4 linked regions of the Ovis aries genome follow. The protein of the gene in region 3 interacts with the protein of the main gene of each other region in a biochemical or structural test. Links are inferred from orthologs where the notes say so. Each region holds a gene or a part of one and is shown on either strand. Other genes may lie near its edges.

Region 1 (4,859 bases), on a different chromosome or scaffold from region 3:
AGAACACTGGAGTGGGTTGCCATTCCCTTCTCCAATGCATGAAAGAGAAAAGTGATTCAGTGCTATATCATATAAAGCCTCATTTCTATTCAACACAGCTCTCAGAGCAGTCCTTAATCACTTTATTATTTCCTCTTTTGCAAGTTTCCTCATCACCTTATTCCCTTGATAATCTGAATAGCTGTTCTATGGATCTGTTTCACTTCCATTATGGCAATTAAAGGTGAACAGTCTAAATGGGCATAATGCCACAGGTACTGGTTTTGTAAAATGTTTGTATTTGGGGAGGAAGAACTATTTCTTTTCTGCCAGTGAAAGATGAAAATTAAGTACTCATCAGTAAAATAACCTCATGTTCTAATCCTAATATGTGTCAGACACCACTGAAAGTTTTTTAAAAAGTCCTTGGTGGCAACATTTTACATGTTCTTGAGTAACTTGGTTTAAATTTCCATTCTCTTTAAAAATTTTTAAGATACTTATTTGGCTGCACCTAGTCTTAGTTGCTTGCCTAGAGAGTCCTGTGGACAGAGGAGCCTGGTGGACTACTGGCCATAGGTCTGCAGAGAGTTAGACATGGCTGGAGAGACTTAGCATGCATGCATGAACTGGAGGAAGAAATGGCAACCCACTCCAATATTCTTGCTTGGAGAATCCCAGGGACAGAGGAGCCTGGTGGGCTGCTGTCTATGGGGTCGCACAGAGTTGAACATGACTGAAGCAACTTAGCAGCAGCAGTCTTAGTTGCTGCATGTGGGATCTAGTTCTCTGACCAGGGATGGAACCCGGCCGGGCCCCCTGCACTGAAGCCCCAAGTCTTTGTCACTGGACCACCAGGGAAATCCCCAGGTTTCCATTCTTATTTGGGTAGTAAAAAGGAAGACTGAAGTCATTTTTCAACAGCAGCTCTTCCATTAGATTGACTTGATAGCTATTTATGTGACAAATTTAATCTGAGGTACTTGAAACTTAGTAACAAAGGTGAGAACAACAACATGAAAAGAACAAGAGCAAGAATATTGCCTTGATTTGTCTCCTGAAAAAGTGTACCTTGTCTTCAAATTTTTGAGTACCACAAATTTAGTCCCCTAAGGTAAGAAGGTGCTTTTTTAGTGATTTTTCTTCCACCGACCTCTGGTTAAGAAATAGTTTTGTAGAGATTTTTGGATCTTCAAAGACTGTTTAAGCTAGTAGCCTTTACACCAATAAACTTGGATTAAAAAAACAAACATGATTTTATTTTTACCTTTGGAAAGCAAAGGATATATAAATAGCAAAACAAAACCAAAATAAAGGACCAAGGACTTAATGGTCAAATAAATGGTTGACAAAGCAAAACCACCAAATCACTTTTCAAACATGGATCTTTTCTCTTAACGAATTTTAATATTACTCTTGATGTAGAACATGAGCTATAATTATCAAAAGCATACTGATCTAAACTTACTGCGTTATGGCCTTTATACGCTATTTAAGTTCTTCGCCCTTAATTCTCACAACATTCTAAGGTAAATATTCATCACTATTTTCATATTTCACCTGAGAAAACTGGGACACTTCAAAGTTAAGTAATTTGCCAAGGTTACAGAGCTTGAATCCAGCTCTGCAGGTTCAGAAATCTGTGCTCCTCAGGCATTCTACTGCGTTCTCGATAGCACAGAAAACTTGAAAATACAGTCGAACTGTAAATTCTATGTGATGCATTATCCAAGCCACTGAATTTTTTCTTACTGAAGTATAGTTGATTTATTAGTTTCAGGTGTACAAACAGTAATTTGATAATTTAACAGATTATACTGTTTATAGTTATTATAAAATGGTGGCTGTATTTCCTATGCTGTACATTATATGCTTGGATCTAATTTATTTTATACATAGCAGTTTACAATAAGTTATTTTTTGGGAGGTTCAAGAAAGCCAAGAATTTGCCATCCTCACTTCCTGATTTTAGATCGGATGAGCGGCACAAATGAACTGTTTTTGCCATTACTTATTATATCATCACTAAAACCTGAAAAGAAGGGGACTAGTTAAATTCTTAAACTTTACTTCCTGCTGTTCTAGAAGACCTTACTTAACCACTGTTTTAATCTATATGATACACTCAATATAAATGTTAAGGTTTCCCTAGGGTAGTAACATACTAAAGTGATCACTTAAATCTTAAAGAGTATCAGCTATGCATTAGTCATTTTACCTGTCTGTACTTACAAGCAGATCAACAGGATATAAACCTTGGTTGTTTCCTTTTTAGGAGCCATTTCTTGTTAATTCAATGATTAGTTAACTAAACCAAATGGAACAAATGGCCCTCCAAAAATGAAATGTAGTGGAAAAAGAAATAGAGGAAAGGAATCACAGTAAGTTACACGGTGATCCACTCTCACTAGTGTTAGAAAAGCAAAGGAGAGAGTCTTGAGTAACTTCAGTCTGACCACAATGACCACTTGTTACACCTACCACCCACTACAATACCTCAGGCTCATTAGGAATTAAAAGCAGCTCAGCAAGGTAAAGGACACATCCCAACCAGGCCTAAGGTCTCTACAACCGCTGAGGAGCACAGGGAGCCACTGAAGTAAGTTTCCCCACCCTCAAGCTTTCACTGCTGCCCAGGAGCCAAAGACCAAAAGCCAGGGGCCAAGACAGTTCTCCGGCCAGGGCAGTGACCCAGCTTGAGACAACCCTCCCCCGCCCCTGATCAAAGTGTCCGCGCCTAGAGGGGTGGGGTAGCTGCAGGGTGAGGAAGGCCTGGATAGGAGATAAGGGGACTAAGATGTTTCGACAGAGAAAAGGTCCCTTCGGTTGGCGGATCGGGACGCGGGCCCGGGTCGAGAAGAGTCGCCCGCCGCCATGATAGGGCCGGCCCATCTGGGGGGCGTGACGCGGCCGGCCCGGAGCGCAGAACCGGCTCCCCTTTCCCCCCGCCCCTCCCCCGCGTGGGCCTCGGCCACAACTGCCCCCCGATACTCACGCTTTGTCCACCAGCTCCCGCACCTTCCACATGTTCAACATCTTGCCCGAGCGGGCCGGGCCTCCACCTCCCTCTCCTGTACGCCACGGACCCCGGAACACTTCCGCGCCGGGGCAGATCCAGGCCGGGGTCGCTGCCGCTGTCGCCGCCGCCGCCCGCCGCCTCAAACTCCCCCAGTCAGCTCCTTCTCTTGCCACAGCCGCGGCGCCGCCAGTGACACGTCGAGACGCGGGGGCAGAGGCGCTGCGTGGGGCGGAAGTGCCTGACTTTCCGCCCGCTGCGCACGGGGCACGCTGGGACTTGTAGTTCTCTGTGCGCCAAATTAGGCTGAGAGTTTCAGAGGAAAGCTAAAGTTAGGATTCTTCGGTAAAAGAGCTCTCTGGATTCTCCGCACCCCTCCGCAGTAGTCATGTATGGATGTATGGATGTGAAAGTTGGGCCGTAAAGAAAGCTGAGAGCCGAAGAATTGATCCTTTTGAACTGTGGTGTTGGAGAAGACGCTTTAGAGTCCCTTGGACTGCAAGGAGATCCAACCAGTCAGTCCTAAAGGAAATCGGTCCTGAATGTTCATTGGAGGGCCTGATGCTGAAGCTGAAACTCCAATACTTTGGCCACCTGATGCGAAGAAATGACTCATTAGAAAAAACCCTGATGCTGGGAAAGATTGAAGGCGGGAGGAGGAGGGGAATTCAGAGGATGAGACGGTTGAGTGGCGTCACCAACTCGATAGACATGAGTTTGAGCAAGCTCCAGGAGATGGTGAAGGACAGGGAAGACTGGTGTGCTGTAGTCGATGGGGTCGCAAAGAGTCGGACACGACTGAGTGGCTGAGCAACAACAATGGACAGAGGAACCTGCCAGGCTGCAGTCCATAGGATCTCAGAGTCGGAAACGACTGAAGTGACAGCATGCACGCGATGACTATAAGAAGTATAATTGGCATATGTACTCCTCATTGACAGAAGTAATTCTGTAGTTGGTTCCAAATGCCCAAATATACTTCCTTCCCTGGGCTTTAGTTTCCATCCTTGTACATTGAAAAGGCTGTGTCTTAAAACCTATTCCATTCTAATTCTACCATACAGTGCTCTTATATTTAGACAGATACTTAATATCCTTGTTAGATACTTACTATAAAGTTCAGAACCTCAGTTCACACTCCATGGGAAATTGTAGAAAAACAACACCAGGACATTAGGACGGGCCCAAGAAGCTGACACGTGTATATTCTCAAAGTGTAGATATACATCTATGCTGCATTCATTGTTTTATTGCAATGATTATTGTCACTTTATTTTTCACTTACTTATTTTTTGACAATGTTCATGTTAGAGCCACAAACACTCTTAAAGTTCATTTGGTCAAACTGCTTAAATTTTACAGTTCTTTACATTCTACAAATTTTTATTGAATATTTTCTATGTGCCAGGAGTGTGGAGAAGGAGAAGGGGATGACAGAGGATGAGATGGTTGGATGGTATCACTGACTCAGTGGACATGAGTTTGAGTAAACGCTGAGAGCTGGTGGTGGACAGGGAGGCCTGGTGTGCTGCAGTCCGTGGGGTCACAAAGAGTTGGACACAACTGAGTGACTGAACCGAACTGAACTGAAGGAGTGGAGAACCCAGCTGGGAAGAAGACAGGCAAGGCCTCAGCTCTCTTGGATCTTAAAGGTCTTTGGAGGAAAACATAGTAATTGAGGGAACATTTAAGATAATTGCTGATAGAAAGTGCTTGAAGAAAACAGAAGATAATATTATAGAGAATGATGTTAGAGGAAAATAGTATTAGGGAATATTTAGGGTGTCTTTGAGAAGGCAATGGCACCCCACTCCAGTGCTCTTGCCTCGAAAATCCCATGGATGGAGGAGCCTGGTAGGCTGCA
Region 2 (5,010 bases), on a different chromosome or scaffold from region 3:
CAAATACCATATGATCTCATGTGTGAAACAGAAAAACAAAACCCCCAAATACTGAACTCAAAGACCCAGAGAACAGATTGGCAGCTGTTAGAGGCAGAGCATGGGGGTGGGTGGGTGAAATGGGTGAAGGGGGTCAACAGGTACAAATGTCCAGCTAGAAAATAGTTAAGTCCTGAGGCTGTAATGTATAGCATGATGACTATAGTTTATAATAATGTACTGTATATTTGAAAGTTGTTAAGAGAATATGTCTTAAAAGTTCTCATCAAAAGAAAAAAAATGTTGAAGGAACTTCTCTGGCAATTCAGTGGTTAAGACTCTGTGCCTCCAATACAGGGGGTACAGGTTCAATCCCTAGCCCCGGAAACAAGATCCCACATACCACGTGGCACAAAGACAGAAAAAGACTTATGGTAGTGATCATTTTAAAGTGTATACAAATATCAAGTCATTATATTGTACACCTGAAACTAACATAATGTTATAAATATCAATTTAAAAAAGAAATGAGACCCACCCCCCCCAAAATCAAAAAACATAAGCTGGGAATTCAAGTCAAGTCCACAAATATTTCCCTAGGAAATACTCTGATTTGTTTAAGGAAGGTTAAAGATGAAACAACAGGTTGCATCATAATCTATTTACCTTGAAAAAAAAGAATGTCAGTGTTTGATTCCTTGTGTGCAATAAAGTCATTTTCAATTGTAATTTTAGTCTCTCAAGTAAATTTCTCCTATGGTTAACAGCAGGAACTACAAAACTAAAGAAGGCACCCAAAAGACACGGATTATACAGATGATTTGACAGTATGAGGTGTCTCCAATAATGTAATGTCTCCAATAAATGATTTCAAAAGAAACTTCTCAGATATGATGTAATTCTGAGATGTTATATGGCTTTAAATCTCAGCTATGTTACTTCCTGACTGTGAACAAATGACTTAACCTCTCTAAACCTCCATTTCTACACCAAGGAAAAGGGGATGACGATGATAATATTACAATTTCACAGCAATCCTCACATGAGAGTTAAATGAACTAATTCATGCAAGTGCTTAGAAGAGTACCTGACACACATCAAGCCATTGAGTGTGACTTGTGTTATACTCATAACTTATACAGAACTGTAACATAGAATTTGATTTCTCTAGGGGGGAAGATAAAAATAATCAGGAGAGCTACCACTGCAAGTTTAAAAGTGCTTCCAGTATATGAGACCAGATAGAAAGAGGTGTTTCTCTCAAGGCCAGCCGCTTGTTCCCTTATCAGCCGAACAGTTCCAAACCTACAGAACCAAGGGACCAGATCCTGGGATGTGGTCATCTCAACACTGTAGCTATTTTTATTTAATCCTCATAATTTAAAGAAGAGGAAACCGAGGCACAAAAAATTTAATGGTTTGCCCAAGGTTCACATCTTCCCATTCTATTCTTGCCTTTGGAAGTGGTACTGGTGTTCCACTTTTCAATTCACTTTTCTGTTGAATTTACTTTCATTAAACTGGTCTTCCAGTTTGATGAAATCTGGGAAAAATAAAATGAACTTATCACATCAACAGAACTGACCAACCAGAATCTAGGGAAGAGCTACTTCCATAGAACCAGCTGACATCCAGTTTGAATGGCACCAAGAGTTTCAGAATAGGGCAGGCTAGGCTAATGGAAATTTCTTCTCTGTAAACTAGACAGCATAGACAAAGATTGAATCTGGACAATCTAAAGGCAGGGGCTGAAAAAAGTTGTTTTTAAGCAGAATTCATTGTTGGGGGATGGCAGGATTTAAGTGATTGACAATTCTTCACTGATGTCAAGAAACCAGCCAACAACTAGGGGCGGTGGCTGGGGCATAAAGGGATAGGGACCTACCTATATAGGATAGTCATCAGAGATACTTTAGATGAAACATTAGTGGCAAGGAAATGAGATCAGCAGCTATAGTGATGGCTTATCAAAATCTTTTGATCAACCAGTCAACAGTCTTTACTGAGCTCTTATGTCCAAGGCAGAGTGGGAGGTAACACACCCTGATGAAAGGCCAAAAGTCGTTTACATTTCTATACATGTCATTACTTTTTCTAGCAGTCAAGTCAGTAAGTGAAACAGTTACTGGCCTACACAAAATCATGACTGAATTAATGAATATGCCTTCAAGCAAATGGAATAAAGGGGTGGGAGACTGGAGGAACCAGTTGAATGAGATTAAGAGAAGGTTAACAATGAAGCGTTTTTACAACACTTTTACTTCTTTGTAAACCACTTTCATATTTATTATTCTCTCAGTTAACTCCAAAGGCTATAAGGTAAGGCAGTTCATGTTTTTATTAAACTGATGAGGACACTAAGACCCAGAAAGCTTTATTGACCAGCCCAGGATTACACAACCCATGTCAGTTGCAGGGGCAGGAACTAAGAACCCAGGCTTCCTGCTTGCCTGCCCATTGAGCCCTTTCCTGAGCCACAGGCCAGAGCAAACTTGGGGAGAAAGCCAGGTGGTTAGAGCACTGGCACTTCACACCCGGGCCGAACCTGTTGCCCACGTGGCCTCAGTGGGAGGACGGTGCGTGGCTTGTCGCGGTTTGGGGTTGGGAGGTAATGGCAGGCTCCCCTCCTTTGTGGGTATCAGGTGGTTACTTACTCATACTGCCCGTTCCTCTGGACTAGGGTCAGCGCGCAGGGCTCCCGGAGAGGACCCTTCATCTCCATACCCTCGATAGTATGCGGGCGCTAGTCAAGGGTCTTCTCTACAAGCGCGGCCCAGGAGGGGACCCGAGGTGCAGGGTGGCGAGAGGCTCCTGCCCCTCTGCCCACCCTTCCTCCCCAGCGTCCGAGGCAGCGCCTCCCGCGCTGGCCCCCCTCTCCCGCTCGGCTCGGCTTTGGGGCCCGATTGCCCCCTAGCAGCCCCTCCGCCGCGATCCGCAGTCCCGCGGACCCCCACCCCCGCCCTGCGCGGCCTCCCCTCCCCCTTCTCTCAGGCGGATACAGTAAGGGGCTGGGCTCCAATCGGGAGCGGCGGCTCCATCCCGGCGGCTTCCAGGCTCGGCGGGGCTGCGGACTGCGGGCTGATCCGACGATACTGCCTCCCGCGTCCTCACACCCCTCAGCCTCGGCTGCGCGTCCTTAGAGAAACAGCTCCGTGCTGGGCGCGGGCAGCCCGCAGCCTGGAGCCCAGAGCCGGGAGCCGGGAGCCTGACCCGAGAGAGAGCGGCGCCTCCCACCCCCGCCAGTTTTCCAGGCCGCCGCAGATTCCGCCCCCTGCGGCCAAGCTGCGGAACTGCAGGCCAACCCGACGGACTGGGGGCGTCTCCCCCACGTCCAGCAAGGGATAAGTTTTCAAGGCTGTCTGTGACGCCAGACTTGTTTGGGGGACTTTGAAGGTTGCCATAGAAACAAAGTACAGTCATACCCATCAAATAACTCAAAGGTGTTGGGGCCACTAGGACCCACATCCTCCATTCAAAATATCCTTATTATGGTTAACAGAATGGACCGTGCTGGACCTACCGCTCAGATGTCCTCCCACCTCACTCCATCCTTCCACCCCCTAAATCGGAAAAATCCCCAGAGATCATACCTTTGCTTTCTCTGTCCCCCTTTAAGCTCACTTGTAAGCAGGCAAACACCAAATGTATTATCCCTGGCCCACATCCCTTGCCTAATATAACTCATTGTTGGCAAAACATTGGATGACAAAAACCCACGGTTATTTCACACAGCGATGCAGGTTTGACATTTCAAAGCCATGTGCTTGCTTGTGTCTCCTGCATTGCCAGGCGGCGCTAGTGGTAACGAACCCACCTGCCAAAGCAGAAGATGGAAGAGACGCAGGTTTGATCCCTGGGTCGAGAAAATCCCCTGGAGAAGCGCATGGCAACCCACTCCAGCATTCTTGCCTGGAGAATCCCGATGGACAGAGAAGCCTGGCAAGCTAGAGTCCATAGGGTTGCAGAGAGTCAGACACGACTGAAGCGACTTAGCATGCATGCACCTGGGAAGCCCCATATGCTTGCTCTCCTGATTGCTCCGTATCCAATCAGCCAACAAATCTTATTAATATGTTCTTTGGAATTACTTTTAGATTCTTTGTTTTCTTGCCATTCACACTGCCATCACTGGAGTGTAAGCCCTTGTGATATCTCATTTGACCATTTTACTCTGTTGACAGTCATAAGAATATTCTTCCTAGAGTAATGTTTCAGTTGTGTTATTCTTTTGTTCAGTGGTCTTGTATGGATGTGAGAGTTGGACTGTGAAGAAAGGTGAGCACCAAAGAATTGATGCTTCTGAACTGTGGTGTTGGAGAAGACTCTTGAGAGTCCCTTGGACTGCAAGGAGATCCAACCAGTCCATTCTAAAGGAGATCAGTCCTGGGTGTTCATTGGAAGGACTGATGCTAAAGCTCAAACTCCAATACTTTGGCCACCTCATGCGAAGAGTTGACTCATTGGAAAAGACCCTGATGCTGGGAGGGATTAGTGGCAGGAGGAGAAGGGGACGACAGAGGATGAGATGGCTGGATGGCATCACTGACTCTATGGACATGAGTTTGAGTAAACTCTGGGAGTTGGTGATGGACAGGGAGGCCTGGCGTGCTGTGATTCATGGGGTCACAAAGAGTCGGACACGACTGAGCAACTGAACTGAACTGAACTGATTCTTTTGTTCAAGACTCTATGCTGCTGCTGCTTCTGCTGCAAAGTTGCTTCAGTCGTGTCTGACTGTGTGACCCCATAGACGGAAGCCCACCAGGCTCCCCTGTCCCTGGGATTCTCGAGGTAAGAACACTGGAGTAGGTTGCCATTTCCTTCAATGCATGAAAGTGAAAAGTGAAAGTGATGTTGCTCAGTCGTGTCTGACTCTTAGCGACCCCATGGACTGCAGCCTACCAGGCTCCTCCATCCATGAAATTTCCAGGCAAGAGTACTGGAGTGGTGTGCTCATTGCCTTCTTCACAAGACTCTATGATGAACTATATATCAAGACTGACTTTAAACCTGTATTAATTAACACAGTGT
Region 3 (5,058 bases):
GTAACAGTAACATTTCAAGTGCTCACTATGCCTTTGTAGCTAGTATAAATTTTCATCATGGAAGAAAGTTCTATTGCAGAGTAGCTTTCAAAAAGTTAAAGCCACATAGTAACAGTAACAGGAAAACATCTTATTAAATAGAATTCAAATATTATAGGTTAAGGTTCTTGAAATGTACTGCACTCCACACCAAAATGAAAATGACTGTGATTCTACACACACACACACACACACACACACACACACACACACAGCCTTTTATGTCTTAAGTTATTTCCTAAACAGAGTGAAAGCACATTCCCTAGGGTTAGCCACACCCCTTTAAAAGCTGAGTAAATTGACCATTAGGAAAATACTGAAAAACCTGATGCATCTTAAACGTGGAAGCTTTTCCTAGAGTAGACTGCCACATAATTCTAGGCACTATGACTCTCCCAGGTAGTAGAGTTAAGCATATAACATATCCCAGTAACTCAGCACTGCTTACTCTTTGCAAATCAAAATAACCATTATCAAGAACTCCCACATTCCATGCCTGTATTTATGGATCAAAGGGAAAAGAACAGGGTTGGGAGATTTTTAATTCAGACCCCAAAAACCTGGGAACACAGCAGAATGTGTCAATCAGCATAAAGATACTAAATGAGCTAAGAAATGATAACTGCAGGCAACTCTATACACAGCCTAGGATTTTTTTCAGAACCTGCAATTCTAACAAAATCTTGTTCAACTAGGCACTCATCTGTTCACTGCTATCGGCCTAAACATCTTAAAAAAGAAAAAAAAACTTTGTAACTTAAAATATTAATGTTCATCTAATGTAGTTCTAAACCCTTGATGACAGACCCTTTGGTTGGTCCAAGCAGTTAGATGGTATAAAAATAAATTCATTTCAAGTTCACCCTTTGAAGCTTTCACAGGTTAATGCTACACTCAAGTTCCTCAATTCTTCCCAATTATTATCTTAAGTGTTTCATAAAGTTTTTGCTACTTAGCAAACTGGCAGGGGCTCAGAGGTCAAAGACCTAAGATGCCAATTAAAATAATCCTTAGTATACAGTCACTATAGCAAGCTTAAGCTTAGGCATGGGATATATATACTACTCCAAAAACTGAAAGACTGAATTCTTTCAGTATATTTGCATAGCTACTTTACACTCAACTCTTCAAAGTATTTGAGAAGACAGCCTCACTCAAGTATTTGCAAAAACTATGAACCACTTAGAAAGAAGACCCATACTAAATGTGTCTTCAGTTAGTGACAAGGTTGGAGTCCAACCTTTGGAATTATTCAATAATCTTGTTTCTTCATTAACAGAAATGAAAAAACTATTGCTCAAACTACCACTAGTCAAGAAACAAGATTTACTAGTGGGATATGCCTCTGTTTTGTAAAGCAAACAGCAATTGCTAACTGCTTTTCTTGTGTATGATTTTACATACTTTTGTCTGCAGGAAGATTATATTCCAGAAGCAGTTCAGTGTGAGGACAAGGGTGTGTTTTCCCTTCATACTCAAAAACATTTTCCTAACCCTTCACATTCAACAATAGTAACCACAGCAATAAAAATTTGGATGGAGCATGAACAATAATTTCTGGGTCCATTCTATCACTTAACGTTTTTTGACCTTTTGTCAAATAGTGTTCTATTGCATCGGATGAGTTATCTGAAAACCAAAAATGACTGAATAAAAGTACATTACTTATTTTTTTGAATAAAGATTACTCATATTTCAAGACAAAGGAAAAGAAGTCTTGCTGATGCAAGCAAAGGTGATAATCTGTAAAAAACGAAATTATGTTGACAGGCAGAATATTAAACCTAATACAAGAAGGCTTTATATACGTTATAACAATGGCAGAAAGTAAACAGCATTCCATGATAAAGTGTCTAGCAGGTCACTAGTATTAGTGTCATGTCAAACCACTGGCATCTCTTATCATTTACAAATTAGTCCTTCAAATAATTGAGGGGAGGCAGGACTCTTTAAGGAGGTAACTGGAAAGAAAACATACTTTATGAATAAATTTATTTCAGCCAAAGTAAAACAAGGATTGGTGAACCAGGAAAATCAGAAGCTCCAAAGACGACTTAATTCAGTCAAGTCCTCCAAAGATCACCTGCCTGGGCCCGCCGTGGGCAAGCTGCCAGATAAGACAGTCTGTTGCCTACAGGATACTGCACCATGGAGAAGAACTCTAGAACCTACCAAAGGCAGCCAATTACAGACCAAATAACCCCGCATATCTCAGGGCAAGTGTGCTATATCCCCAGGGTTCATTCAATTCCTTGCAATCCTGAGGGAGGTACTCACGCCAAGCCAACTACCTGCTAACCTCCAGCAGACCCCACGATAACCTCTGGACAACTCTTTCTCTTTTCTAGAACCAAAGAGGGGATAAAAGCTGCACCATTCGCAGAGAAATCGAGAGAGTGAAAAAAGGCGAGTCCCTCAAACCCCCCACGCACTCTGAAATTGACACCACACTAATAAATACATTCCCTCTTTCTATCCTCCTCCTTTTCCTTCAGTGACCTTCCGTGTTCCTACTGCCTTGGGCAAGGCAAGAGAGGAGCTGCTGTCGTCCCCCCCACCCCCGGGGAAGGTGCCCTTCCCTCTGAGAGGCGCAGAGGGAGGAAGAAAAAAAGCTTGCTCCTCCCCAACCCACCCGCGCCACAACTCCTAGGTGCAGGCACGATGGGGGAAAAGGGGAGAGAGAGAGAGCAATGAGAAGTGACAGCCCTGCGCTGGCTTGGGAGAAGAGAATTCCTGCTCCGGAAGAAACGCGGGAGATCACCACCACCGCACAACTCCATCCGTCCCCGGCTCCACGAACCCAAATGAATGAACTGAATAAAACCGGGGGGTGGAAGGGTTTATCATGCGCAGTCCTCGCCATCCAGGAAGCGAAGACAGAGAGGCCTTCAAACCCCAGCGTGGCCTCGCTTTCCTATGGATCTCGACTCGCTTCCTCGCCACCCAAGCCCCACATCAATCATTTAACCCTTTAAGCTTTCCAAGACAGTGCACCGTCCTCCGGCTACCTCAGGAACCGATACCCCCCCTCTCCGATTCTACTCTTTGGGGCTTGGGCTCAGACTCCCGCTTCTTCCTTCTGACCTCCCGCGTCTCCACAGCCCCCAGGAGCCCCGGCCCGCCGCACCTGAAGATGCTCCTGAAAACGAATTGGCAGAATCTGGGCCATGGCGCTGTCGGGGGGTATGGTCTCCTCCTGTCACTGGGGCTGCGGGGCAGTGGCTGCCCGGGCTCTCCAAGGAGAGGAGGAGAAGGGGGGAGGGGGGAGGCTGGGCTCAGCAGGAGAGTCTCCGGGGACGCAGGAAACTGGCAGGCAGACGAAAGAGCTCAGGTCGGGGGCGGAGGCTCCAGGGTCCAGGAGAGCCGCAATGGCGGAACCGGGCGCAGCGCAGACTCCGGAAACGGCTGAGCCCTGCGGAGGGATCCCGGCAACAGAACTCCGCCCCAGTTACTTCACCCCCCCTCCGCCTTATGTACCCCTCCACGGAGTGCCGCGGTGCCGCGGTGCGCAGGAATTCGGGGCGCAGTGCGCCGAGGGAGTCGCTGACGGCTGCGACACTGCAATAAATAGAGGCATCGAAGGGACTACTTTTTTTGCCTCATCACTTTCCCCAGCCGCCTGCTTTTCCCTCCCCCTCCACCACCTTTTTTTGCATTTTGCCACATCATGCGACTAGGGGCGACCAACGTCATTTCCGTGGGCGCTTTAGGTCCCACCCACGTACTTCCGGGTGCACGTGACGCTGGTCGGGAAAGGTCGGCTGGTTGCTGCCGGAATGCAGAGCGCGTTCTGGGGAAGTGCGGCGTCTCCTGGGAATGAGGTGGCTGTTGGGCCGCCCTGAGGAATAGTAGTGCTGCTGCCTTCCCCTGTGCGCCCTGTTTGTTTAAATCGAGTCCTTTCAGAAGAGGACGTGGCACGGGCAGATGGGCCCAGCCTCCCGCCCTCTCCGTGACTCAGGGAAACGGCCTCCCTGCAGAGCGCGCTTGGCAGTAGGCTGCTGCCCTCCTCCCCCGCCTGGTTCCGTGTGGTGGGTGGGTGGTGGTTACATCCCAAGGAGGGGGCATTGATGGGGTTTAAAATCCTCTCTGCCCTTCTGACGGTTGGAGAAGCTGACGCTTGGATTCTAGCAGAGCTAATAGTCTCTTCGGATGTTAAACAATTGACTCAAAGGGCGGTGAAGGCCACTGATGAGGTATCTCAAATAGGCCTTGTGATGGCCTTTCTTAGCGTTTCTGCGGACATTTTGGCAGACGTGTTTATGAGTGTAGTTCAGTAATTTGCTGGAGATTTTGAGTGTCCTAAATACGCTCAAGAATAGGACTGAAATAGTAGCAGGAGGACTTTTTTTTCAGCCATGTCAAATAATGAGCCTCAAAGATTTAGGTTAAAGTTGGGTTTTTCCTCCTCGTGGGTAAGATACGCTCTTGGAGAAAGAAATTAACCATTAGCGGTGTGTTTCAGTGGGACCACCTCAACAGTGTGTAAGTTAGCTGTGTTTGGGAATACAAGTATCTCAAAGCTGAAGCATCGTGTCTTGTCACTGCGTTAAGGTGTCTACGGCATTCAGTATCGGTTAATAACCTCCCCAGTACTTTGTTGCTAAGTATAAGCTACAATGATGCTTCATAACCGCACAAATACAATAAAGGATAAAAGAATTTTCGTTCTGTGCCTTTCATTTTAAGAGAGAGATGTAATGTTTTTTCCAGAAAGATCTTGAGGAACTATTCAAGTACACAATTATTTTTAATGCCCTTTTCAGTTAAACATAAAACCCCTATTAGGTAGACAGTAGTTTTGTGTGTCAAGCAGTTTTACTTAGAGAAATTTGCTTAATCATTTTAATTGCTTTTAATGTTTCCCCCAAAGTATATCTCACACACTGAGAATGAGAAAAGAATCTTTGGCAGTTAAAATAGCAGATAGACTATTCTGCAAGAAAAGCCCCACCACCATGTCATCAGAGTGAATATTTATGGTTGGCAAAATTTCATTATGTTTTGTTAAGCTAAATACTT
Region 4 (4,839 bases), on a different chromosome or scaffold from region 3:
ATTGATGCTTTTGAACCGTGGTGTTGGAGAAGACTCTTGAGAGTCCCTTGGACTGCAAGGAGCTCCAACCAGTCCATCCCAAAGGAAATCAGTCATGAATATTCATTGGAAGGACTGATGCTGAAGCTGAAACTTCAATACTTTGGCCACTTGATGCGTAGACCTGATTCATTTGAAAAGACCCTGATGCTGGAAAAGACTGAAGGCAGGAGGAGAAGGGGACGACAGAGAATGAGATGGTTGGATGGCATCACCAACTCGATGGACCTGAGTTTGACTAAGCTCTGGGAGTTGGTGACAGACAGGGACGCCTTGCCTGCTGCAGTCCATGGAGTTTCAAAGAGTCCCACCCGACTGAGCGACTGAACTGACTGATTCACAGAACCTCCCACAGGATTGAACTCTCTCCTGGCTTGCTAGTGGAGGCCCTCGTGGGCTCTCACCTACTGCCGGAGTCTCCCCATTGGTTCCCTTCCTTCCCGTCGCCCCCAGAATCCCATCCACACGATGCCAGCTGGCAAAGCCGTCAGAGGCTCCCCAGTGCCTACATAGGCCCACCCCCTCTTCTGCTTCTCTATTGAATGTGTGAATTTTTATCAAAAGCTCTTAGTCAAAAAAAAAAAAAAAAAAGTAACGCCTTTCTTTACTTTGAGTTGCAAAAAGCATTTATTTTTAAAACATCAAAATTGGCATTTGAACAGAAAACTTTTAACTTTCTTCAGCATCTCGGCTAAGGATCTTACTTCCACCCCCTTCCATCCCCCCTACGCCTGTCGTCAGTACCTTGGCTGACGACGGAGCAGGATGGGAGGGGTGTCCCAGAGCCGGGGATAAATATTAAAATGTCCACATGGGTTTCTACCAACGAATACATCCTGACCAGATCCAGAGGGTGAGAGGTTTGTAAAGGTGTCGAGAAGTTTCCACTGACCCAGCCCAGCGCTCCCTGGTCTGCGAACATTACAAAAGGGATGGGCAGGGATTCGGGGCAGGGGCAGGACGAGGGAGAAGGCGGTGGGAGCCGCTACCCACGCCGGCCAGGTCTGCGACCCGCTGAACCAACCTGCGGAGGCCCGGCCTCAGGGCAAGCGCATCCTGGGACAGGGGCCGCCGAGCTGGTCCATCGCGCGCGCTCTTGTCTCCGGCCCGAAAAGAGTTAACAGGCCAGTCCCACGCGGGCCCGGATTCCCTGCGGCAGGCCCAACTCACCGCCAGCTTGACCCCCGCCCACCAACCAAGCCGGGACCTCGCGGCGCCCGGGGTGGGGTGGGGGGACTGGGAGAGTGCGGCTCGCTGGGAGCTCGCGGGTGCAGCCAGCGGCTGGGAGAGCCGCGCTCTGGGCGTCGGGGAAGGGGCGGGCTAGGGCAGGTCAGGCCCGCCCCCGCCAGGGGCGGTGGAGGCCGGTGACCGACAGGCCTCCGGGCCCGTCCCGGCGCGCCTGACGGTCCGGAGCGCCCTGCAGGGTAGGGCCGGGGCGGGGGCTCTGGAGAGGGCGGGGGCGGACGGGGAAGCCTCTGGGCTGGGGCGGGGCCTCGGCAGAGTAGCAGCGCTCTCAGCCAATGGGAGGCGGGCGCCTTCCCGTTAGCGCCGGATCCCAGTGGATAGGGAGGGGCGGGCGGCGCCGTGGGGATCCCGGGGCGGCTGAGGGCCCCTGACTCGGCTCCGCGCGGCGACATGGACCGGATGGCCAGCTCCATGAAGCAGGTCCCCAACCCCCTGCCGAAGGTGCTGAGCCGGCGTGGGGTTGGCGCGGGGATGGAGGCTGCGGAGCGGGAGAGCTTTGAGCGGACTCAGGTGAGGACCGGGGCGGGGTGGGGGACACCCCCGGTCGTGCACGGCTGGGGCATCCCGCAGTGTCCTGGAGGGGACTCGAAGGGAGTAGGGATCTTGCAGGCCCAGGGAAGGACTGAGCAAGGGGGCATCTGGTGCGGTGGTCAAGGCGGTCTGGGAAGGTCGGGGACCCCGGGGCCATCCCGGCTGGCCTGGGGGAGAGGGCAGGGCGGCTCTGAGCAGCTGGCACGGTCCGCGCGGTGCGACCGACTGGAGCCGGTCCCGGCGGGGCAGGGCAGGGGTCACGGGGGCGGTGAGAGGGGAAGGAACGCGAAAAGGGGGCCGAATGGAAGGGGTGCCCCTAGCTGGGGAAGGTCCCTGGCGGGGGGGGGGTGGCGCTGGGGGTCGCAAGTGTGGCTGCAGAGAGTGGGGCGCTGAGTCGGGAATGTGAGGGCTGGGGCGCCCTGTACTCTCCGCTCGATCACTTCAGGACTGCGTTGACATTCCCCCCGTCCCTAGCATCCCCTTCCTTGTGCCTCTAGCTTGGCTCACGCCAGCCCCCAGCTGTCGGCCTCGGAGGACCGGACTGAAGGGGTCTGAGCCCGGAGGAAGGAATGTAGGAAATGCGGTGTGTGGCCGAGTTTGGAAGATGACCGGGGGCTGGAGGAGGGGGCCGGCCCAAGGACAGATATTGAGGGTCCTGGACCAGTGGCCCCGATTCGGGTCAAGTTGGGTTGTTCTGGGGTGCCCAGAACCCTGAATCGGGGTTTTGATTTCATCCCCCTAAATGTGCCTGACAGCTAATAGGCAGCCTGCCCTAAATTGTCCAGCCTGAGCAGGGCTAGGGGCCAAAATTCCTCACTGTCATCAACAAAAAGCCACAATCCATTTTTACCTCAGAGTTTTAATGCCTGGTGTATTGATTGGACTGAATAAAGCTGACATGTTTATGGTGTTCATCGGCTGGTTTGTATGCAAAATCCATTTCGAAGGGCACAGCACTTCTTTTAATCCCACTGCTGAAGTTGTATGGGCAAGTTTGTTCCTCACTCGCGCTCACTCTTGCTCTCGGAGTGAAACCTTTGAAGAGCCAGGGGGCTTCCGCTGCCAGAAGCTGGTTCTCCCGTTCTGTTCTGCTCCCCACCGCCCTCCCCAAACTTAGTACCATGTGAAGGAAGGGCAGTGGGGTTTTAGATAAAGATTGTGAGGTCCTGATCGAGTGTTCCATGTAGGGAATCTTGCAAAGAAGGAAACTTTTCATGAAAACCCAGGAGACTAATTCCTCTTCTTTTTCCAGGCACCTCTGGCCCTTCACAGGTGTGTCCAGGTGGTGTAAAGTAGGCAGTGTCCCCTCCCTAGGTCATCATTCTACCCCACACGGGATGGGAGAGAAGGCTCTTTACTTCTCTCTCCCAGGGTCTGGCTGGGTTTAAGCTTTATTTTCTAATTCTGTGGATTGGACCCCAGAAAGGAAGGAAGATGCTTGTCTGCTATGGGCATTATGCCCTCGTCTAGCTGCCTGGGCACACAAGGCTTCTTGCTCCAGGAAACAGTGTAAATCTTTCTTGTAATGGACAAGGAAAATAAATGGTAATTCATTCCTTTTAGAGTCTCCAGTAAAAACTGGAGCAATAGAGAAATACACATAAGAGTTTGACCCATTATAGTGATGGAAATTAGGTTTGTGAAAGTTTCTCTAGCTATCCAGGGACGTCCCAACAAGGAGAGTCTAGGTCAGTGTTAGGCAGTATCTTACATTCTGTGGGGCACTGATAATTGGCCAGATTTGAGCTAGTGGCGTGTGTGTGTGTGTGTGTGTGTGTGTGTGTGTGTGTGTGTGTGTGTGTAAGGGAGGTAGAATGAATCAGGAAAAGAGTTTCTGTGTTGTTGAAACTATTAGGGCAATAAGAGAGTGAAGAAAAGGAAAGAGAACAATTCTAAAAACCTCACCTTAGTCAATCTGCAAAAATGTGTATTGTTTAATGACTACTTACCCAATGTATGTGTGTGTTAGTCACTCAGTCGTGTCTGAATCTTTGCTACCCCATGGACTGCAGCCTGCCAGGCTCCTCTGTCCACAGAATTCTCCAGGCAAGAATACTGGAATGGGCAGCCATTCACTTCTCCAGGAGATCTTCCCAACCCAGGGATCGAACCCTGGTCTCCCTCATTGCAGGCAGATTCTTTACAGTCTGAGCCATATGAACATGAGTTATAAAAAAAATTTAATGAGTTAAGAGACCATGGAATCAGTGAAGGTGGGCGGATGATTGTAACTAATTATGTTTGGCACTTTTCTGAGTACTTTATTGTATCACCTTCTTTAATTTCAGTAAAGTACTGTGAGGTGATATTGACAAGGACCTATGAGGTGAGTATCAACCACATTTTATCTGGAGGAAATTGAGGCACAGAGAAGTTAAGTAACTTGCCCAAGGTCAGACAGCATGTTGTGATCCCAACCTTTAACCACAGCTCTGTGTGGCTTCTGAGTACTGGGCCGAGCACTGGTATGGGAACTGGAAGAGGCTGAAATTTGATAGCCAGGCACATGGAGGGGCTGTGGTCCCAGGCAAGTTTTCCAGCTTTTCTTAGCCTTGGGTTCCTTATTGCAAAATAAGGATACTACTTACCTCACAGGTTGATTATGGGAGACTAGATTAAATAATATACCTGGAGGCATTTTGTAAACTGGAGAGCACTGTGGCGATGATGATTGCTATAATCTGAGGAGGAGAGGGGACCAGAAAAAAGGCCAAGTACTGGGGCAGGCTGTGATGAACTGTTCAGTAGAGGGACAGAAGTGTTCCTGGTTAATGCAGTGATTACCAGGAGTGATTGCTTAAAGTCCAGGCTGTTAGGGTGCGAAGCGGGTGGGAGCCCTGCGAGGTCTGAACCCCATCCTTCAGCCTGAGCCAGCACTTGCTGGGGAGAGAGGAGGGATGGGGCATTCCAGGAGAAAAGGTATGGTCTGGAGGCGGGTGTAAATGAGATTCATCAGTTAAGGTGGACAGAGCAGAATAGGCTCCTCCCACCTCCAAACGCCTTGCACCTGCTCCCTGTCCTGTC

The links.
Region 1: the proteins of CLTC (region 3) and CLINT1 form a complex in vitro, tested with the Homo sapiens proteins (2 studies listed by BioGRID). The link is inferred for Ovis aries from reciprocal best matches to the Homo sapiens genes CLTC and CLINT1.
Region 2: the proteins of CLTC (region 3) and OCRL form a complex in vitro, tested with the Homo sapiens proteins (2 studies listed by BioGRID and IntAct, with this or other methods). The link is inferred for Ovis aries from reciprocal best matches to the Homo sapiens genes CLTC and OCRL.
Region 4: the proteins of CLTC (region 3) and HIP1 form a complex in vitro, tested with the Homo sapiens proteins (3 studies listed by BioGRID). The link is inferred for Ovis aries from reciprocal best matches to the Homo sapiens genes CLTC and HIP1.

Annotation. Positions count from the first base shown.
Region 1 is NC_056058.1:67,029,538-67,034,396, forward strand, and holds the start of CLINT1 (clathrin interactor 1), read right to left. Parts: upstream 3,187-4,859; 5' UTR 3,016-3,186; coding exon 2,975-3,015; intron 1-2,974. UniProt on the Homo sapiens protein: Binds to membranes enriched in phosphatidylinositol 4,5-bisphosphate (PtdIns(4,5)P2). May have a role in transport via clathrin-coated vesicles from the trans-Golgi network to endosomes. Stimulates clathrin assembly.
Region 2 is NC_056080.1:113,486,889-113,491,898, reverse strand, and holds the start of OCRL (inositol polyphosphate 5-phosphatase OCRL), read right to left. Parts: upstream 3,187-5,010; 5' UTR 3,018-3,186; coding exon 2,979-3,017; intron 2,932-2,978; exon of another isoform or gene 2,705-2,931; coding exon 2,634-2,704; intron 1-2,633. UniProt on the Homo sapiens protein: Catalyzes the hydrolysis of the 5-position phosphate of phosphatidylinositol 4,5-bisphosphate (PtdIns(4,5)P2) and phosphatidylinositol-3,4,5-bisphosphate (PtdIns(3,4,5)P3), with the greatest catalytic activity towards PtdIns(4,5)P2.
Region 3 is NC_056064.1:10,285,583-10,290,640, reverse strand, and holds the start of CLTC (clathrin heavy chain 1), read right to left. Parts: upstream 3,447-5,058; 5' UTR 3,209-3,446; coding exon 3,167-3,208; intron 1-3,166. UniProt on the Homo sapiens protein: Clathrin is the major protein of the polyhedral coat of coated pits and vesicles. Two different adapter protein complexes link the clathrin lattice either to the plasma membrane or to the trans-Golgi network.
Region 4 is NC_056077.1:34,460,648-34,465,486, reverse strand, and holds the start of HIP1 (huntingtin-interacting protein 1), read left to right. Parts: upstream 1-1,653; 5' UTR 1,654-1,674; coding exon 1,675-1,794; intron 1,795-2,369; exon of another isoform or gene 2,370-4,839. UniProt on the Homo sapiens protein: Plays a role in clathrin-mediated endocytosis and trafficking. Involved in regulating AMPA receptor trafficking in the central nervous system in an NMDA-dependent manner. Regulates presynaptic nerve terminal activity.